4 linked regions of the Macaca mulatta genome follow. The protein of the gene in region 4 interacts with the protein of the main gene of each other region in a pairwise test. Links are inferred from orthologs where the notes say so. Each region holds a gene or a part of one and is shown on either strand. Other genes may lie near its edges. The genes, in order: NDN, HTT, RACK1 and MKRN2.

What was found.
Region 1: the proteins of MKRN2 (region 4) and NDN interact in a two-hybrid assay, tested with the Homo sapiens proteins (2 studies listed by BioGRID and IntAct). The link is inferred for Macaca mulatta from reciprocal best matches to the Homo sapiens genes MKRN2 and NDN.
Region 2: the proteins of MKRN2 (region 4) and HTT interact in binary tests that used the Homo sapiens proteins (3 or more experiments, as listed by UniProt). The link is inferred for Macaca mulatta from reciprocal best matches to the Homo sapiens genes MKRN2 and HTT.
Region 3: the proteins of MKRN2 (region 4) and RACK1 interact in binary tests that used the Homo sapiens proteins (3 or more experiments, as listed by UniProt). The two-hybrid records come from large-scale screens. The link is inferred for Macaca mulatta from reciprocal best matches to the Homo sapiens genes MKRN2 and RACK1.

Annotation. Positions count from the first base shown.
Region 1 is NC_133412.1:6,264,315-6,268,338, forward strand, and holds NDN (necdin), read left to right. Parts: upstream 1-1,486; 5' UTR 1,487-1,600; coding exon 1,601-2,566; 3' UTR 2,567-3,407; downstream 3,408-4,024. UniProt on the Homo sapiens protein: Growth suppressor that facilitates the entry of the cell into cell cycle arrest.
Region 2 is NC_133410.1:3,412,364-3,416,312, forward strand, and holds part of HTT (huntingtin), read left to right. Parts: intron 1-1,354; coding exon 1,355-1,469; intron 1,470-1,625; coding exon 1,626-1,839; intron 1,840-2,212; coding exon 2,213-2,318; intron 2,319-3,949.
Region 3 is NC_133411.1:190,284,445-190,288,882, forward strand, and holds the start of RACK1 (small ribosomal subunit protein RACK1), read right to left. Parts: upstream 3,184-4,438; 5' UTR 3,080-3,183; coding exon 2,971-3,079; intron 2,684-2,970; exon of another isoform or gene 2,616-2,683; intron 1,639-2,615; coding exon 1,467-1,638; intron 1,185-1,466; exon of another isoform or gene 1,106-1,184; intron 991-1,105; coding exon 843-990; intron 1-842. UniProt on the Homo sapiens protein: Scaffolding protein involved in the recruitment, assembly and/or regulation of a variety of signaling molecules. Interacts with a wide variety of proteins and plays a role in many cellular processes.
Region 4 is NC_133407.1:151,390,636-151,394,584, reverse strand, and holds part of MKRN2 (E3 ubiquitin-protein ligase makorin-2), read right to left. Parts: intron 2,893-3,949; coding exon 2,711-2,892; intron 935-2,710; coding exon 630-934; intron 1-629. UniProt on the Homo sapiens protein: E3 ubiquitin ligase catalyzing the covalent attachment of ubiquitin moieties onto substrate proteins.

The sequences.
Region 1 (4,024 bases), on a different chromosome or scaffold from region 4:
TAAATATCCATAAATAGAGGAAGGAGAAGGAGAAGTAGACGGAGAGAAGAAGGACGAGGTGGAGGAGGAAGAGGAGAAGGAGAAAAGTGTTGAAATAATTCCAACTAAGACTGATATCTAGGAATTACCCTGGTGAAGTGGGAAGCTAAAGAGCCTGTTGGAAGGACTGGTGTGGGAATGGCTCTGCCAAAAGTGTTATGTGCATGCAAACCCAAAGAGAGAGAGCACAGAAAACCCTTCAACATCAACCTGCTTGAGGAAAAATAAAGTGACAAGTGGGAAAAGATACATACTCACAGCGAGGACTCTAGACATGTTAAGACAATTTTTAAATGTGCTTTTGGCTTCGAGTGGCAATAATTAGACTCAACATATTTAAGAAGCTACTGATGAGAAGAAACGCTGGAAGCGCTGAAGGACCACATCAGCCCAGACCAAGGATGCTGAAGCAGCATCAAGGCCCTTGGTTTCAGAGGCTCCACCAATGACCCTTTTTTCAGGGAGACCCTGTAGGAGCGAGTTTTGTCTTTGCCCAGTGGGAATCTGTCTTCTATACTTAGAAAACAGGGTTACCCATGTTGCCCCTGCTACCCTTGGGTCATCTCAGAGACACTACCAGATATTACCTATGAGACCTAGTTGTTTTTTTTTAAATCTCAGGAAGGACTTGGGTGTGGCTTCCAACGTGGAGGACTCAGTAGCTTCAGAGAGGGTCCTGGGAGAAGGTGAATCGGAGAATAAGGGTGCTGGGCAGAGGGAAAAAGACATTATTATACAAGTTTGTGCTAAAAGATATAGCAATCCTTCTGCTGTGGACTAAGTATGGAAAAAAATAAAATGGAATCAAAGTGACCCAAAGGAAATGTAAAACTCAAATTTATGCCCACTAAAGCATTAATGATGCTCTAAGTCCGCTGCCTACTTAAAAGGTTCATAGTTCACATGGGTTGACAGGAAATTACGTTAAGGACACGCTGCATTTCTCCTTTTCTTACAACCCCTCTGATTTGGTAGGGAGGGAGTCAATCATTTTTTTATTGGAATTTCTCAGGATTCCAACTTCAGACATACACTTTACACATTTTCTTGGACAAGCCCGACTGTTCCTCTCACTCGTTCGCATAAAGCTCAAGTTTACACAGCCGCCCAGACCTTTCTCTGGGACGCTCATATTTAACTTAATTCTGGATATATCAGGTAAGCGTTTCCCAAGAAACTTGACCCCAACATCCCAAAAACTTAAGTTATCATCTTTCTCCTAAACTGGCCCCTTCTCCAGTACGCATCCATCGCACTCTTCTCCTGCCCTAGATCCCCTCAGCCCAAACGGGAAACCCCGGGATCGCTCTCTCCGCAGGTGAAGCTTAGCCAGGGACCCTCCCCGTCGGGGCTCCGCGCTGCCCCGCCCGCCCCCAGCCGCTGGCCAAGGCCGCAGTCGCGCAGGCGCAGTGCCGCGTCCCGCCGCCGCCCCGCCCTGCCCGCCGCTGCGGAAGGCGCCGCGCACAGCAACGCGCACTTCCTCTCCAGGAATCCGCGGAGGGAGCGCAGGCTTGAAGAGCTCCTGGACGCAGAGGCCCTGCCCTTGCCAGACGGCGCAGATATGTCAGAACAAAGTAAGGATCTAAGCGACCCTAACTTTGCAGCCGAGGCCCCCAGCTCCGAGGTGCACAGCAGCCCTGGGGTTCCGGAGGGGGTTCCTCCGTCCGAGACCCTGGCAGAGCCGCAGAGCCCTCCTTTAGGCCCGACGGCCGCCCCGCAGGCCGCGCAGCCTCCCCAGGCCCCGAGCGACGAGGACGACCCGAAGGCCCTGCAGCAGGCCGCGGAGGAGGGCCGCGCCCACCAGGCCCCGAGCGCGGCCCAGCCCGGCCCGGCCCCGCCAGCCCCGGCGCAGCTGGTGCAGAAGGCGCACGAGCTCATGTGGTACGTGCTGGTCAAGGACCAGAAGAAGATGATCATCTGGTTTCCAGACATGGTGAAAGATGTCATCGGCAGCTACAAGAAGTGGTGCAGGAGCATCCTCCGGCGCACCAGCCTCATCCTCGCCCGGGTGTTCGGGCTGCACCTGAGGCTAACCAGCCTGCACACCATGGAGTTTGCGCTGGTCAAAGCGCTGGAGCCCGAGGAGCTGGACAGGGTGGCGCTGAGCAACCGCATGCCCATGACAGGTCTCCTCCTCATGATCCTGAGCCTCATCTACGTGAAGGGCCGCGGCGCCAGAGAGAGCGCGGTCTGGAACGTGCTCCGCATCCTGGGGCTGCGGCCCTGGAAGAAGCACTCCACCTTCGGGGACGTGCGGAAGCTCATCACTGAGGAGTTCGTCCAGCAGAATTACCTGAAGTACCAGCGCGTCCCGTACGTGGAGCCGCCCGAGTACGAGTTCTTCTGGGGCTCCCGGGCCAGCCGCGAAATCACCAAGCTGCAAATCATGGAGTTCCTGGCCAGGGTCTTTAAGAAAGACCCCCAGGCCTGGCCCTCCCGATACAGAGAGGCTCTGGAGGAGGCCAGAGCTCTGCGGGAGGCTAATCCCGCTGCCCACTGCCCTCGCAGCAGTGTCTCCGAGGACTAGCCAAGTCTGGAGGCAGATGAATGCTTTCTGATCCTCACCAGGGCTGTGGAAGGGTGGGGGTGGGTCATTAGAGTGTTCAGGATTTACAGTGCAGTATTCACGTGTAACTTTTACGTTTTCAGTACAGTGCTTTTATACCTTTAATGCAATGTTGTGTTCATTTGGGTACTATTGTGTAGTATTTAGGATGTATGCATGTTTGTTTATATGTAAGCTTGGTTGGTGCTTTCGCTTTTGTGGTACCTTTCTTGGATTTTTGTATCAGAGACGTGCTAAACTGATGAAGTACATTGAGAACGTTTCCATCTTATTAATTTACATGGGACTGAGATGTGTGTTGGGGTAGACTGCTCCTGCAGAGTTTGGAAAAACTCACCAGCAAAGCCGGCCTAACCAAGAAATGTCAAGGCCCTCATGACCTTGCTGGGGACTGAAAACATCCTCGTGGAGTAAACTAATTTGAACTGGACTGGTCTCAATGTGAGAGCACTTGGCACACTTTACTAAACACATATACAACCCCACCGTGAGTCAACTTTAAAGTAAACATTAAAGATTCTTGTGATACAATCATTTCTGGAAGTGTACGTTATCATTTTAACAAAGCAGTATGGTTGGGAATGAGACAATTCTCTGTTTTACAGTATACACAGATATAACTATTTCCCCTAATGGGGTGGGAAAAATCGCTACTCATGATTACTCCTAAATTTGTGAAGTTTGTAGTTTTGTCTTTAACTCATGTTTATTTCAAAAACATGCACAAATATAGAAAAGCATAAAAAACAAAACAGTAAGATTGTCCATAATCACATCCTATGGGAATAAAAACCAAAAATAATTTCCTTCCCTTAAGTTTCTACATTTTATCAAAATTAATAGATGCTTTGTGGGCACTTAAAGAGTGAGACATTGTACATGAGCCCTGACGTGTATTTTTCTCCTTTTATCTAATCCTCACAACAGGCCTGTCAGGCAGGCAAGAACTGCCTCTGCACCATGGAGGAAACACAGGAATAATGTAGGTAATGGACTTTCCATAGCTCATACAGGTTAATAAGAGAAGGCGCTAGGACTAGAACTCACAATGAATCCAGAGTCCACATTTGTCCCCACCTGCCTTCAACTCCCCTACACCCTGTGGTTTTTAGGTTATTTATTTTTAACTTTATATTGAAATTTCATGTGGGAGCCCACACTCACATGGGTTCATGGGCCACACATACAAAAAGGCTAGGAATTTTATTTTTCTAATTCTTAGGATATTTTGGAGAAAGCAATATCATTCTGATTCTGCAAATTAAGAAACTTACTTTTGGAGAGATTAATTAACCTAATAAAGTGATATTCCTGTTGAGCAGTGAAGCTGGGATTGGAAACAATCTTTCCTGAGGGTTGGAGGTGAAGGTGCTTTCTCTGACAAACACACAAGACACCTAAGAGAGGGAGGTGGGTTGC
Region 2 (3,949 bases), on a different chromosome or scaffold from region 4:
CAGAGGCTTTAGCAGAGATGGGCCCAGCCTCTCTGAGTCACAGGCTTTAGAGCTGTCTGTAGAGGGAGGGTAGAATTTCATCAGCCACCCACATGGGGGAGTTGAGGGCAAGAATTTGGAGCAAAGATGGGAAAGGGGCTGGGAAGAATGGCCAGTGATCCCCTTTGACAAGTGGGCAGGAGATGGGGGCCGGGTCAAAGTTGAGTGGAAGACTTGGAGGGAGATGGGAAGATCTCTGTAGGCACAGTTCAGACAGGAGGGAGGTGTGAGCCAGGGCACTGGCTGGTGGCTGTCTGGCAGGATTTGGGACATCCTGGAGCAGGGACAGTGGCTCAACAGGGGCCATTGCCCTCATCCAGGCCAGAGTGGCACAAGCTTGTGGGGAGGCCCTTCTCGTCTGTCATCCTTGCTGGGCGGTGGGTGCTGTGCTAGCAGGACGCAGGACAGGCGGACAGCTGGCAACTGTCTCTGCATCCCTGGAGCCTGGCATAGGGCAAGTCACACGGGGGACACAGGCCTGCAAATCAGGCACATGCGTTGGTGCAGCGAGGTGATTTTGGGGGGCAGCCCCACAACAGGCCCCAGGCACAGGCCAAAGCCCTGGCTGTGCTGGCGTGTTGGGCCGTCTATGGCTCTTGCTGTGGGCATGGAGGACTCAGGAAAGGAGAGTTGAGGTGGCCCAGGAGTTGCGTTTGGGATGCAGAGAGCTTGTGGCATCCAGGTAGAAATGGTGTGTGGGGCTGGCCTCAGTGCCATGGGCACGGGCTGTGTCACATGCCTCCGAGGTAGAGGTGGGATCACGTGGTGATGGATATAAGCATCACTGGGCACATTTCTGTGGGTGGAGGGGGGCATCTTATTGGCTCCTCTGTTCACAGTGGCCACTCATTCAGTCCCTGGCTACCGGGTCCCCATTGTGCCATGGGGAAGGCAGGTGCTGTCGGGGGATCACACAAGGCAGCACGTCATGGTGGAATGTGCCACGAAGGAAAAGCACAGGGCACTCAGGAAGTAGAGGGGACTGGCCTGGGGTGTGGGAATCCAGGGCCTCTTTGAGGGACAGAGAGAGGAAGTCTGTGGTGGCCAGTATGGAGGTGGCCACAGGGGAGGCTGGGCCAGGCCGAGAGGGCAGGGCGTGGAGGAGGTAGACGGGCTCAGCTATCCAGGGAGGGGTCGAGCAGAGGCTGAAGGGTCAGGCCAGGTTACAGGGGCCTGGGGAGCCACACAGGGTAGGTGCTCCCGGGAGCCAGCCTGGCCCGCAGCTCTTCACTCCCGCGTGTGGCTGGGCATGCTGCGAAGCCCTCTCTACGTTGGATGGGGGCGGCTGAGCCTGGCTGCTGTCTCCCGTTTTCAGCTGCGTGAACATTCACAGCCAGCAGCACGTACTGGTCATGTGTGCCACTGCGTTTTACCTGATTGAGAACTATCCTCTGGACGTAGGGCCAGAATTTTCAGCATCAATAATACAGGTGAGTGGGCCCTGACTGTCTTCCTCTGCACACGGGGAGTGGGCTTCCCTTCTCTTTTCCTTGCGGGATCATACCAGTGGGCCAGTTTTGACTTGGTGGGGAGGAGGCATGAACACCTGAGACCATGCAGCGACAGAAACCTTTCTCCCTGTGCAGATGTGTGGGGTGATGCTGTCCGGAAGTGAGGAGTCCACCCCCTCTATCATTTACCACTGTGCCCTCAGAGGCCTGGAGCGCCTCCTGCTCTCTGAGCAGCTCTCCCGCCTGGATGCAGAATCCCTGGTCAAGCTGAGTGTGGACAGAGTGAACGTGCACAGCCCGCACCGGGCCATGGCGGCTCTGGGCTTGATGCTCACCTGCATGTACACAGGTGAGCATGTACACAGTGCCCGCAAGGCCAGCCCAAGTCCTGTTCAAGGGAGACAGGAGCATGCTCGCTCAAGGAACCTAGACTAGGTGTCCTCTGATTTGACACTTTTAGTGTTGCCCCAAGCTGGCCCCATCACCTTGCAAGAGAGGCTCTGGAGCCCCCAGGGCTGGAGTACCTGGTCAGGGTTGACCACCCCTCTGGTCACTCATCCCATGTGGCTGAGCTGTGCTGGGTCCTGGGCTAGCGAGGGGCTCACATCACCTGCTGTCAGGTCTTCTCCAGTGATTCATTGGACTCCTGTGTACAAAGCACTATCTACAGAGCCTGTTGGGTTGTATAGATGTAACCTTCGTACTGAACACTTTTATTACAGGAAAGGAGAAAGTCAGTCCGGGTAGAACTTCAGACCCTAATCCTGCAGCCCCAGACAGCGAGTCGGTGATTGTTGCTATGGAGCGGGTGTCTGTTCTTTTTGATAGGTAAGAAACGAAGCCCCATCCCTCAGCCGTTAGCTTCCCTAGAATTTTGGCCTGAAGCTGAGCGTTTGTGTGTGTTGGCTGATCCCCTGGCGCTGTTGCTGGAGTCCCGCCAGTGATTCCTGACCACAGCCTGACCGTGGGCTGCCTTGGCTCAGGGTTCCACTGGCGAGCTGGTGGTCCTTGGACCCCAGCGCTCAGGTGTAGTGTTGACCAGTTCCAAGGTTGTCCCAGCGCCTGCCCATCTCTCCTGAGGGCTCAGGCACCGCACCTGGCCGTGTGGGGTATGGCAGGGGGCAGGAATGACCAGTCTCTGGGAGGGTGCGGCAGAAGCCTGCGCAGTGATGAGGAGTTGGCTCAGCCTGGCTGCCTGTCGTGAGAGGGGAGCCCACGGGGGTCTGTGGGAGGGGGTCCATGGTGCCTGTGAGCAGGGTGAGGGGCAGCAGCAGGAGGAGGAAGGTGAAACCCACACATGCATCTTTTGAGACCCGTGTGGTCAGTGGCTTCTCCTCGCTACCCCTCCGCCCCACTGCTGTGCGTGAATTGGTGTTGAGAATTGGCTTCGCTCCCCTGCTCTGGAAGTGGGTTAGGAGCTTCGTAGGGCTTTTTCTTAAGGACAAGGCTCCCTGATTGCTCTCAGGCCTCAGTCCTGGCGACATGGCGGATCTGGGGCGTTGTTGTGCTGCCTTGCCTGTGCTCTCCAATCAGGGTGTCCCAGTCCTGGCGACATGGCGGATCTGGGGCGTTGTTGCACTGCCTTGCCTGTGCTCTCCAATCAGGGTGTCCCAGTCCTGGCGACATGGCGGATCTGGGGCGTTGTTGCACTGCCTTGCCTGTGCTCTCCAATCAGGGTGTCCAGTGGGGAGCCATTTGGCTTTTCTCAAGAGCATACTCAGGTGGACTTTGCTCTATTCTTTGGCCAGATGAGGTGTTCTGAACAGCTGAGCCTGTGCTTGTCTGTTTTCATGTTTTTTTTTTTTTTTGAGATGGAGTTTTGCCCTTGTCACCCAGGCTGGAGTGCAATGGCGCGATCTCGGCTCACTGCAACCTCCACCTCCCGGGTTCAAGCGATTCTCCTGCCTCAGCCTCCCGAGTAGCTGGGATTACAGGCACGTGCCACCACGCCCAGCTAATTTTTGTGTTTTTAGTAGAGACAGTGCTTCACCGTGTTGGCCGAACTGGTCTCGAACTTCTGAACTCAAGTGATCCACCCTCCTCGGCCTCCCAAAGTGCTGGGATTGCAGGCGTGAGCCACCGTGCCTGGCCCCCATGTCGATTTTAAAACGCACCTCTGCATCATTCTTCAGTTCCCACATGCTCACTGAGCACCACCACAGCTGGCAGACGGACACAGGGAGGCGCCACGACCAGTCCTGGCCTTCAAGGGGCTTGTGGTCTAGTGGACCCAGTGCTAGGTGGCGAGTGCTCCAGAGAGCGTGGTGCATGCCTTCCGCTCTACCGCCCTCCAGACGCCGCAGGGAGGCACCTTGGAGCTGACCACAGATCTCCCTCCGTGGAGCACTGTCTTCAGCGCAGCCGCCATGCCACTGCTGGGCGAGGGTCTGCGGGCGGGTAGAGCCAGGAGCACCTCTGAGAAAGTGCACTGCCGTTTCTTGGCTGCTTCCTGTGCATCT
Region 3 (4,438 bases), on a different chromosome or scaffold from region 4:
GAAGCTGAGGCAAGAGAATGGCATGAACCTGGGAGGCGGAGGTTGCAGTGGGCCAAGATCGCACACTGCACTCCAGCCTGGGCAACAGGGTGAGACTCCATCTCAAAATAAATAAAAATTTTTATGGATGGGGTCTCACTGTGTTGGCCAGGCTGCTCTCCTGTCCTCAAGCAATCCTCCCACCTTGGCCTACCAGAGCATGAGCCCAGCCAAGACTTTAAAAAGGCAGAGAGCCGGGCACGGTGGCTCACGCCCGTAATCCCAGCACTTTGGGAGGCTGAGGCGGGCAGATCACCTGACGTTGGGAGTTCAAGACCAGCCTGACCAACATGGAGAAACCCCATCTCTACTAAAAATACAAAACCAGGCGTGGTGGCACATGCCTGTAATCCCAGCTACTTGGGAAGCTGAGGTAGAATTGCTTGAACTCGGGAGGCGGAGGTTGTGGTCAGCTGCGGTCACGCCATTGCACCCCAGCCTGGGCAATGAGCAAAACTGTCTTTAAAAAAAAAAAAAAAAAAAGGGTAAAGATATGCAGGCCATGGTGGCTCACGCCTGTAATCCCAGCACTTTGGGAGGCTGAGGCGGGCAGACTGCCTAAGCTCAGTTCGAGACCACCCTGGTGGTGCGCACCTGTAGCACCAGCTACTGTGGAGACTGAGGCACCAGAATCACCTGAGCCTGGGAGGCAGAGGTTGCAGTAAGCTGACACAGCGCCACTGCACTTCAGCCTGGGCGACAGAGTGAGACTGTCTCAAAATAAAAAAAAAAAAAAAAAGTAAAGGTTAAGAGAGTGGGAGAGATCCTTGGAGATGTGCTCTCTGACCATGGCCTCACTTTACCTGGACAGTGTATTTGCACACACCCAGGGTATTCCATAGCTTGATGGTTTTATCTCGAGATCCAGAGACAATCTGCCGGTTGTCAGAGGAGAAGGCCACACTCAGCACATCCTTGGTATGGCCCACAAATCGCCTCGTGGTGGTGCCCCTAAGAGGGAGGACTTTGTCATTCTCAGACTTAACAAACATTCTCATTCAAGGGTCAGACTGATTCCTGGGCCTTGTCTCTGTCTCATTGCATTACTCACACATATATGACAAAGAATCCCTTCAGAATTGCAGGACATGTCCTCACTCCCACATGGGGATTGGCTGACAATGTCATCTGTCATCACCAGGACCCTCTAATTCCACCTGCCAATCACCTCAGCTTTCAAGGTAAAACATGTTCAAACTGCTGCCTACTCAAAACTGTCGCACCTGGTAGATATGTTCAACCACACTCCTCAGCAATCCTGAGTAACTAATTCAAAGCGAGGGAGGCCAAACATCTTCTGTAGGTGCAGTCTGCTTTCCAGTTCCCAAATGGACTGGATCTCCCCTGGGAAACCAGCCAATTGCATCCACCACATTTCTGCCCAGATTTTTTCCCAAGGCCCCAGAGCTAAGTGAGCAGCTACTTGCGTTGTGAGATCCCAGAGGCGCAGGGTTCCATCCCAGGAGCCTGAGAGGGCAAACTGGCCATCTGAGGAGATAACCACATCACTAACAAAGTGGGAGTGACCCCGCAGAGCACGCTGTGGAATTCCATAGTTGGTCTCATCCCTGGTCAGTTTCCACATGATGATGGTCTTATCTAAAAGCGGCCAAACAGAAGAAAAACCAGTGAGGAACCCGCAGCCAGTTTGTTAACACACTGGATAATTCACTAAGTGTCAAGGTCATGAGTGGGTTAACAACTAAGGATGCTTAAGGAGGGATGGAACAACAGACTACAAGAGCAGTTACAGGCCAGGACTGAGTGGCTCTATTCCAGACTAAAAACGCACGCAGAGCTAAACTGTACCGTGATAACTCTTTTTTTTTTTTTTTTTTGAGATGGAGTCTCACTCTGTCACCCAGGCTGGAGTGCAATGGCATGATCTCGGCTCACTGCAACCTCCACCTCCCGTGTTCAAGCAATTCTCCTGCCTCAGCCTCCCTAGTAGCTGGAATTACAGGCCACCCCCAGCACGCCTGGCTTTTTTTTTTTTTTTAAACTAGAGATGGGGTTTCACCATTGGCCAGGCTAGTTTCGAACTCCTGACCTAAGGTGATCCGCCCGCCTCTGCCTCCCAAAGTGCTGGGATTATAGCCGTGAGCCACCGTGCCCGGTCTGTATCCTGAGAACTTAATTTAGGTGCCAGAAATTACAGACACCCTTTCCTGAAACTCAGACGAACTCAACAGCCACCACGTATCTTCTCTGCAACCGAATGCACAGCAGTTCGTGGCTGTAGAGTAGCTGGGGCCTCCCATGCCTCCCATGAGGGCCGACAGAAATGTTATAATGAATGCTGGAAAAGCCACTTTAGGCGCTACAGGATCGGATGCTTTTACTGAAACCTGTCCCACTCAACAATTTTACGATTAACAGCCAGACATGATTCAAGAGTCACACAATTCTTAACAGTGTAGGAGCAAAGGGGAAGCACAACAAGTGTCCAAACGCAGTCAGGCACACAGGGATAGGGACGGGGAGGGGAGACCCAGGGGCAGAAAAAGTAGGACGAGACTTGAGCCACGAGGTCCTCTGGAGTCCACCCGCCTCCCCACGAGCCTTGGGCCGGGCGGCAGCTCAGAAACAGCCTCTGGATTTCAGCACCGACACTCAGATGGCATGTTGGGGTCATCACCGCCCCGCCCGGCCCGTAGGCCCCCGACCACACTACGAAGGGGAAGGCAGAAGATGTTTTAAAAGTTTCCAACTCTCCAACCCTAACAGCCACGAGCCGCTCTACGTCTAGGTCCTCATCTGCAATGTGGTTCGCCCGGGCTGAGGCCTAGGCTCGCGTCCGCACGCCCCAAATCACAGTGAGGCAGAGAAGTTTGTCAGTCCCCGGCAGCGCGCGCGCCACCGGCCTGCCCGAACCACGCGGAATCCCCCAGCCCTGCAATCTCGGGTCCTGAAATCTACCTTAGTCCGTACCTCGAGAGGCGGACAGGATCATGTCCGGGAACTGCGGGGTAGTAGCGATCTGGGTTACCCAGCCGTTGTGGCCCTTGAGGGTGCCACGAAGGGTCATCTGCTCAGTCATGGCGGCGGCGAGCGCGTGTGTCGCTGCAGCGACGAGGATGGCACTGGATGGCTCAGAGAAACGAGCAACACAGCCGCTACCGCCGCCGCCTTGCAGTGAAAGAGAGAAGCCCTCTGCCGGAACCGGAAATACCCACTCGACCAAGTAAAATGGCGAGCCCCATGATACACTTCTGCTCAAGATGGCGGCGCCATGTAATGCAAAAGGCAAAGGGAAATTGCACGGCATCACAGTCCCCACTTCCGTACAACATAATCTGACAGCGCTTTATAAATACATTCTGAAACAAGCACATTCAAGTGTTTAAAAAGGCTTCTCAGGGATGATGTAGAGCGAGAAGCGAAAGAGGTGAAGTGTACGGCACATTCCCATGAGGACTCCCTGGCGGCTTCCCCGCCCCTATGTGGCGTAGCTCGAGCTCCGCCTGTTCCACTTGGTGCGGGGAGGGTTGACGGGGCAACCACAGGAGAGCTTAATTTTCAGTTCACTATCGTGGGTAACGATGGGCAATTTAAAAAAGTATGGCATTAAAATTTTAAAAATAAACTTTAAAACTGTGCTTCCGCGGGACCGTCCTCCCTCAAGAGGTTTTTGTTCTGATGCACACCAACTCCGGAAGGACTTAGTCCAGGCTGGACTAAGGCAGGAGAGGGTTACTCTGGATGTACTAAAAATTGGTCTCTTTTTGCCGGGCGCAGTGGCTCGTGCCTGTAATCATTCCACTTTGGGAGGCCGAGGGGGTGGATCACTTGAGGTCAGGAGTTCGAGACTAGCCTGGCCAACATGATGCAACCTCTTTCCAATAAATAAATAAATAAATAAATAAATAAGTAAAATTAGCCAGGTGTGGTGGCGGGTGCCTGTAATCCCAGCTACTCGGGAGGCTGAGGCAGGAGAATCCCTTGAACCTGGGAGGCAGAAGTTGCAGTGAATCGAGATCCCGCCACTGCACTCCAGCCTGGGCAGTAGAGCGAGACTCCGACTCAAATAAATACATACATACATACAATAAAATAATAAGGTGAAAATTGCCCTGTGTGTTGCTAGACTGCCAATCCATTCCTGCCTAGGTCAGAACACGGGAAGCTCTCGCAGAAACGGAAACGCCCAAAGGAGGACCTTAAAGTTCTGACTTCTGGGGACATCCACTGGAAAGCTCTCTCTGGGCCCAGTCACTGCACACAAAAGCCCAGGCGTCTGGGGGTCCAGTTGCACCCTGAAGGACGTGCCCAGACAGGGAAGCGGTGGAACACGGATACCTAGCTGTCCTTCTGCCTTCCACTCTACCTCAGGAATTTAAACAAGTAATGACTCTCATTCTCTCACATCTGACTATAAGAGTATTGGGCACCGTGTCTC
Region 4 (3,949 bases):
ATACGACATACCATGGTCCTGAGCTAGATCTGTTCTTTGAACTTAGCATGATTTTGTTTCAGATACCGCTTCTTTTTCTCTTTATTCTGAGTAATCAAATATTGGCAAAATAGGCCGGGCATGGTGGCTCATGCCTGTAATCCAAGCACTTTGGGAGGCTGAGGCAGGCGGACCACTTGAGGTCAGGAGTTCGAGACCAGCTTGGCCAATATGGTGAAACCCCTTCTTTCCTAAAAATACAAAAGTAGCCGAGCGTGGTGGTGAGTGCCTGTAATCCCAGCCACTCGGCGGGGCTGAGCCAGGAGGATCACCTGAGCCGGGGAAGCAGAGGTTGCAGTGAGCCGAGATTGCACCACTGTATTCCAGGCTGGGTGACAGGGAGACTCTGTTTCAAAAAAAAAAAAAAGGCAAAATGACTGCAGGAAAAAGAATCTCAAAATAGGATGTAAATATACCAGATGCATAACATAGGTATATTACTGGCAGGGGGATGCCTGTGGAAACACCAACAATTCTGTCAGTATGTTTCGGATTTCTTTTTTTGAGTGTGTATGGATGGCCTTCAGTGTCCTGTTCAGTACGTTTCAGATTTCTTAACATTGAGTTCATGCAAAGGTTTGTGACTTTACCTTTTCGTGAGCCTTCCTCTGCTCTGGGTCGAAGGGGTGCAAGACTCGCAGCCTACAGATTTCACACACCTCCCCATGCAGGTAGACACAGGCATCCCCAAACCGGCACTCCCCAGCAGCTGCGTAGGGGCACAGCTGCTGCTCGTTGCTGTAGGAGCTGCTGGCCTCCACGTCATCAAGGCCACTCCTGATGGCCTCCAGGTAGGAATGCGGCTTCATCTCGGGGCTGGGTTGGGGGTCGCTGCAGCTGCCTGGATTACTCACCATGCTCGGCTGAGTCTTTCCTTCAGCCATGCCAGACAGATCTGAATACAACACACGGCACACACACATGAAAATGGCCCCATTTTTCTGATATGCCATTAACCAAAGCCTAACATATTAAGCTACTCTGACCTAAGAATTCCACCCTTGAGAACATATGGCAAAAAAACAGACCGAAGGGGAAAAATAAAAGGAATAGTATAAAATGTTCATAGTGACATTACTTAAAAAAACAAAAAACAAAAATGGCCAGACAGGGAAATAAGCAAAACAATAGGATACACTTACACAAAAGAACACTAAAGCTGCTGTTTAAAATGGCAAATATGGAAATGTTAACACATGGACCAGTTAACACTAAAACAAACAAAAAAGTGAGATCACTAGAACACAGTGTTTCCTTCATACCAGCAAAGTTACCAATCATTTTAAGTGAACTAGAATAGATGTCTACAGCAAATCTGTGGGTCCTGAGGCCAGAGTAAACTGTCCCATGGTGAACCCTTCTCACGCCAGGAGCTGCTGCCTTCCCACTGCACACCTCCGAGCTTGTTTACAGGTCATGTATTCTCACAGGACTACTCATTTGCTGAGGATGGAATCTGCCTACCTCACGGTACCCAATTCCAAGAACTAGAAATCTCTTCACCTGGTGCGGACCAGCCAATAAAAACAACTTTTACGGCCGGGTGCAGTGGCTCTTGCCTGTAATCCCAGCACTTTGGGAGGCTGAGGCGGGTGGATTATGAGATCAGGAGTTCGAGACCAGCCTGACTAACATAGCGAAACCCTGTCTCTACTAAAAATACAAAAATTAGCTGGGCATGGTGGTGGGCACCTGTAATCCCAGCTACTCGGAAGGCTGAGGCAGAAGAATCCCTTGAACCTGGGAGGCGGAGATCATGCCACTGCACTGCAGCCTAGGTGACAGAGTGAGACTCCGTCTCAAAAAAACAAAACACACAAAAAAACAAAAAAACTTTTACAATTTGTAGCTTTCTTCCTCATCAAACCCCGTTTTAAGGCACAGACCATGTCCCAAACCCTAGTGTGCTATTCTGTTCCCAAAGGTGCAATCTAAAATGTCACACACTGTCAGCATAAAAACTAAGACCATTCACTGGCCTAAAAGTCAAACAGTGAAACATGCTCTTTAGCAAAATATTTAGTTTTGTTTTTTTTTTTTGAGAGGGAGTCTCACTCTTGTCACCCAGGTTGGAGTGCAGTGGCATGATCTCAGCTCACTACAACCTCTGCCTCCCGGGTTCAAGAAATTCTCCTGCCTCAGTCTCCCAAGTAGCTGGGATTACAGACGTCTGCCACTACGCCCGGCTAATTTTTGCATTTTTAGTAGAGACGGGGTTTCTACTAAACCATGTTGGCCAGGCTGGTCTCGAACTCCTGACCTCAGGTGATCTGCCCACCTCAGTCTCCCAAAGTGTTCGGGTTACAGGTGTGAGCCACTGTACCCAGACAAAATATTTAGGTTTGAAATGAAGAGCTTGATGCTTCTCACCAACTGGACAACCACCATATGAAGATGGAAGTTACATGCTGACAAAAAGATTGCGTTTTTATGTTTTGCCAGGTCAGTCTTGGAGCTCAACCCAGCCTTTGGGCACGAGGGCAAACGTATCATTTGAATGATCTACAGCCACATGGAGCCTCTTCAGAAAGTTCTGAAGTCTCTCCACGCGGACAACCTGGAGGTGTATTAGGTTAGGAGTCCTCTTGACAAGAGGAGGCTAGAAAGGAGCACCAAGCATAAGCAAGAGTGCTATGCAAAAAGAAGCAACAAAAGGCTTCCGCTTACTCACTTCGGTCTCTAAGAACCAACGTTCTCTTTTCACGCTTCCCGGGTTCATGTGAGTTAGTTTTCACAATGGACGCAGTGACCTCAGAAGAAGGGTGAGGATTGTGGAAAGCTGGGGAGGGCACACTGTGGGCCATGGTGCCGACAGCACCTCCAGCTGCAGCAGAGGGCCTCGTGTGGTCATATCTAAACAAAACACATAGCAGATGCATTACAGACATGCCATCCACACACATCCCCACACTCCCCAGATGCCAATGGCCCTCCTGCTGCTGCACTTGTTGAGGTGAAGAAAGCAGCCATCTTTTCCAATATTTAAACTCTAACAGGATTATTGATTAACAGATGCTTGGCAATTCAGTGTGAGGGGGACATTTGCTATCTATCACCTATGCTTAAGTGTCTCTGTGGGACTTGAGTGGGACAGACACACAGCTCCAGACCACACAGAGAGCCTGAAAGTTCCAAACAGATGTTGAGCTGAAATCTCCTGATGCCTGACTGACCCAGTATTCTTTTGAGCAGGAGTCCCCAAAATGCTGACAAGGGCCAATGACCTCTCCCTGACTGTCTCTCTCGGCACTCATTGGCAGGGGGAGACCAAGGTGGGCCTACTTCCATCATCTCCCACTGCACTGCATAGAAAATGGAGGAAAGGAAGCTTTGCAGCCTAGGAAAGAAAAGATCAGCTCTGCACTACAAAAGCACAAACAAGTTTCTGGAATTGTGTACAATTTTATAACTATATATTCATAAGAATAAGGCTGAAAAGTAGTTTTAAAAAATGAAAATTAGACCGGGCACGGTGGCTCACACCTGTAATCCCAGCACTTTGGGAAGCCAAGGCAGGCAGATCATGAGGTCTGGAGTTAAGACCAGCCTGACCAACATGGTGAAACCCCGTCTCTACTAAAAATACAAAAAAAAAATCAGCCAGGTGTAGTGGCAGGTGCCTGTGATATCAGCTACTCGGGAGGCTGAGGCAGGAGAACTGCTTGAACCCTGGAGGCGGAGGTTGCAGAGAGCCAAGACTGCGCCACTGCCCTCCAGCCTGGGCAACAGTGCAAGACTCCATCTCAAAAAAAAAAAAAAAAAAAGAAAATTAGTTTTAGGGTACTGAAACTGAGGTTTTAAATTTATTTGCCATACTTTCTGTAATGTTGTCATATTACTTTTACATTAAAACTTCCCCCTTATCAAGACCCATTCTCCAAACGAAATCAGTGTCACAGCTGGAGCCTGT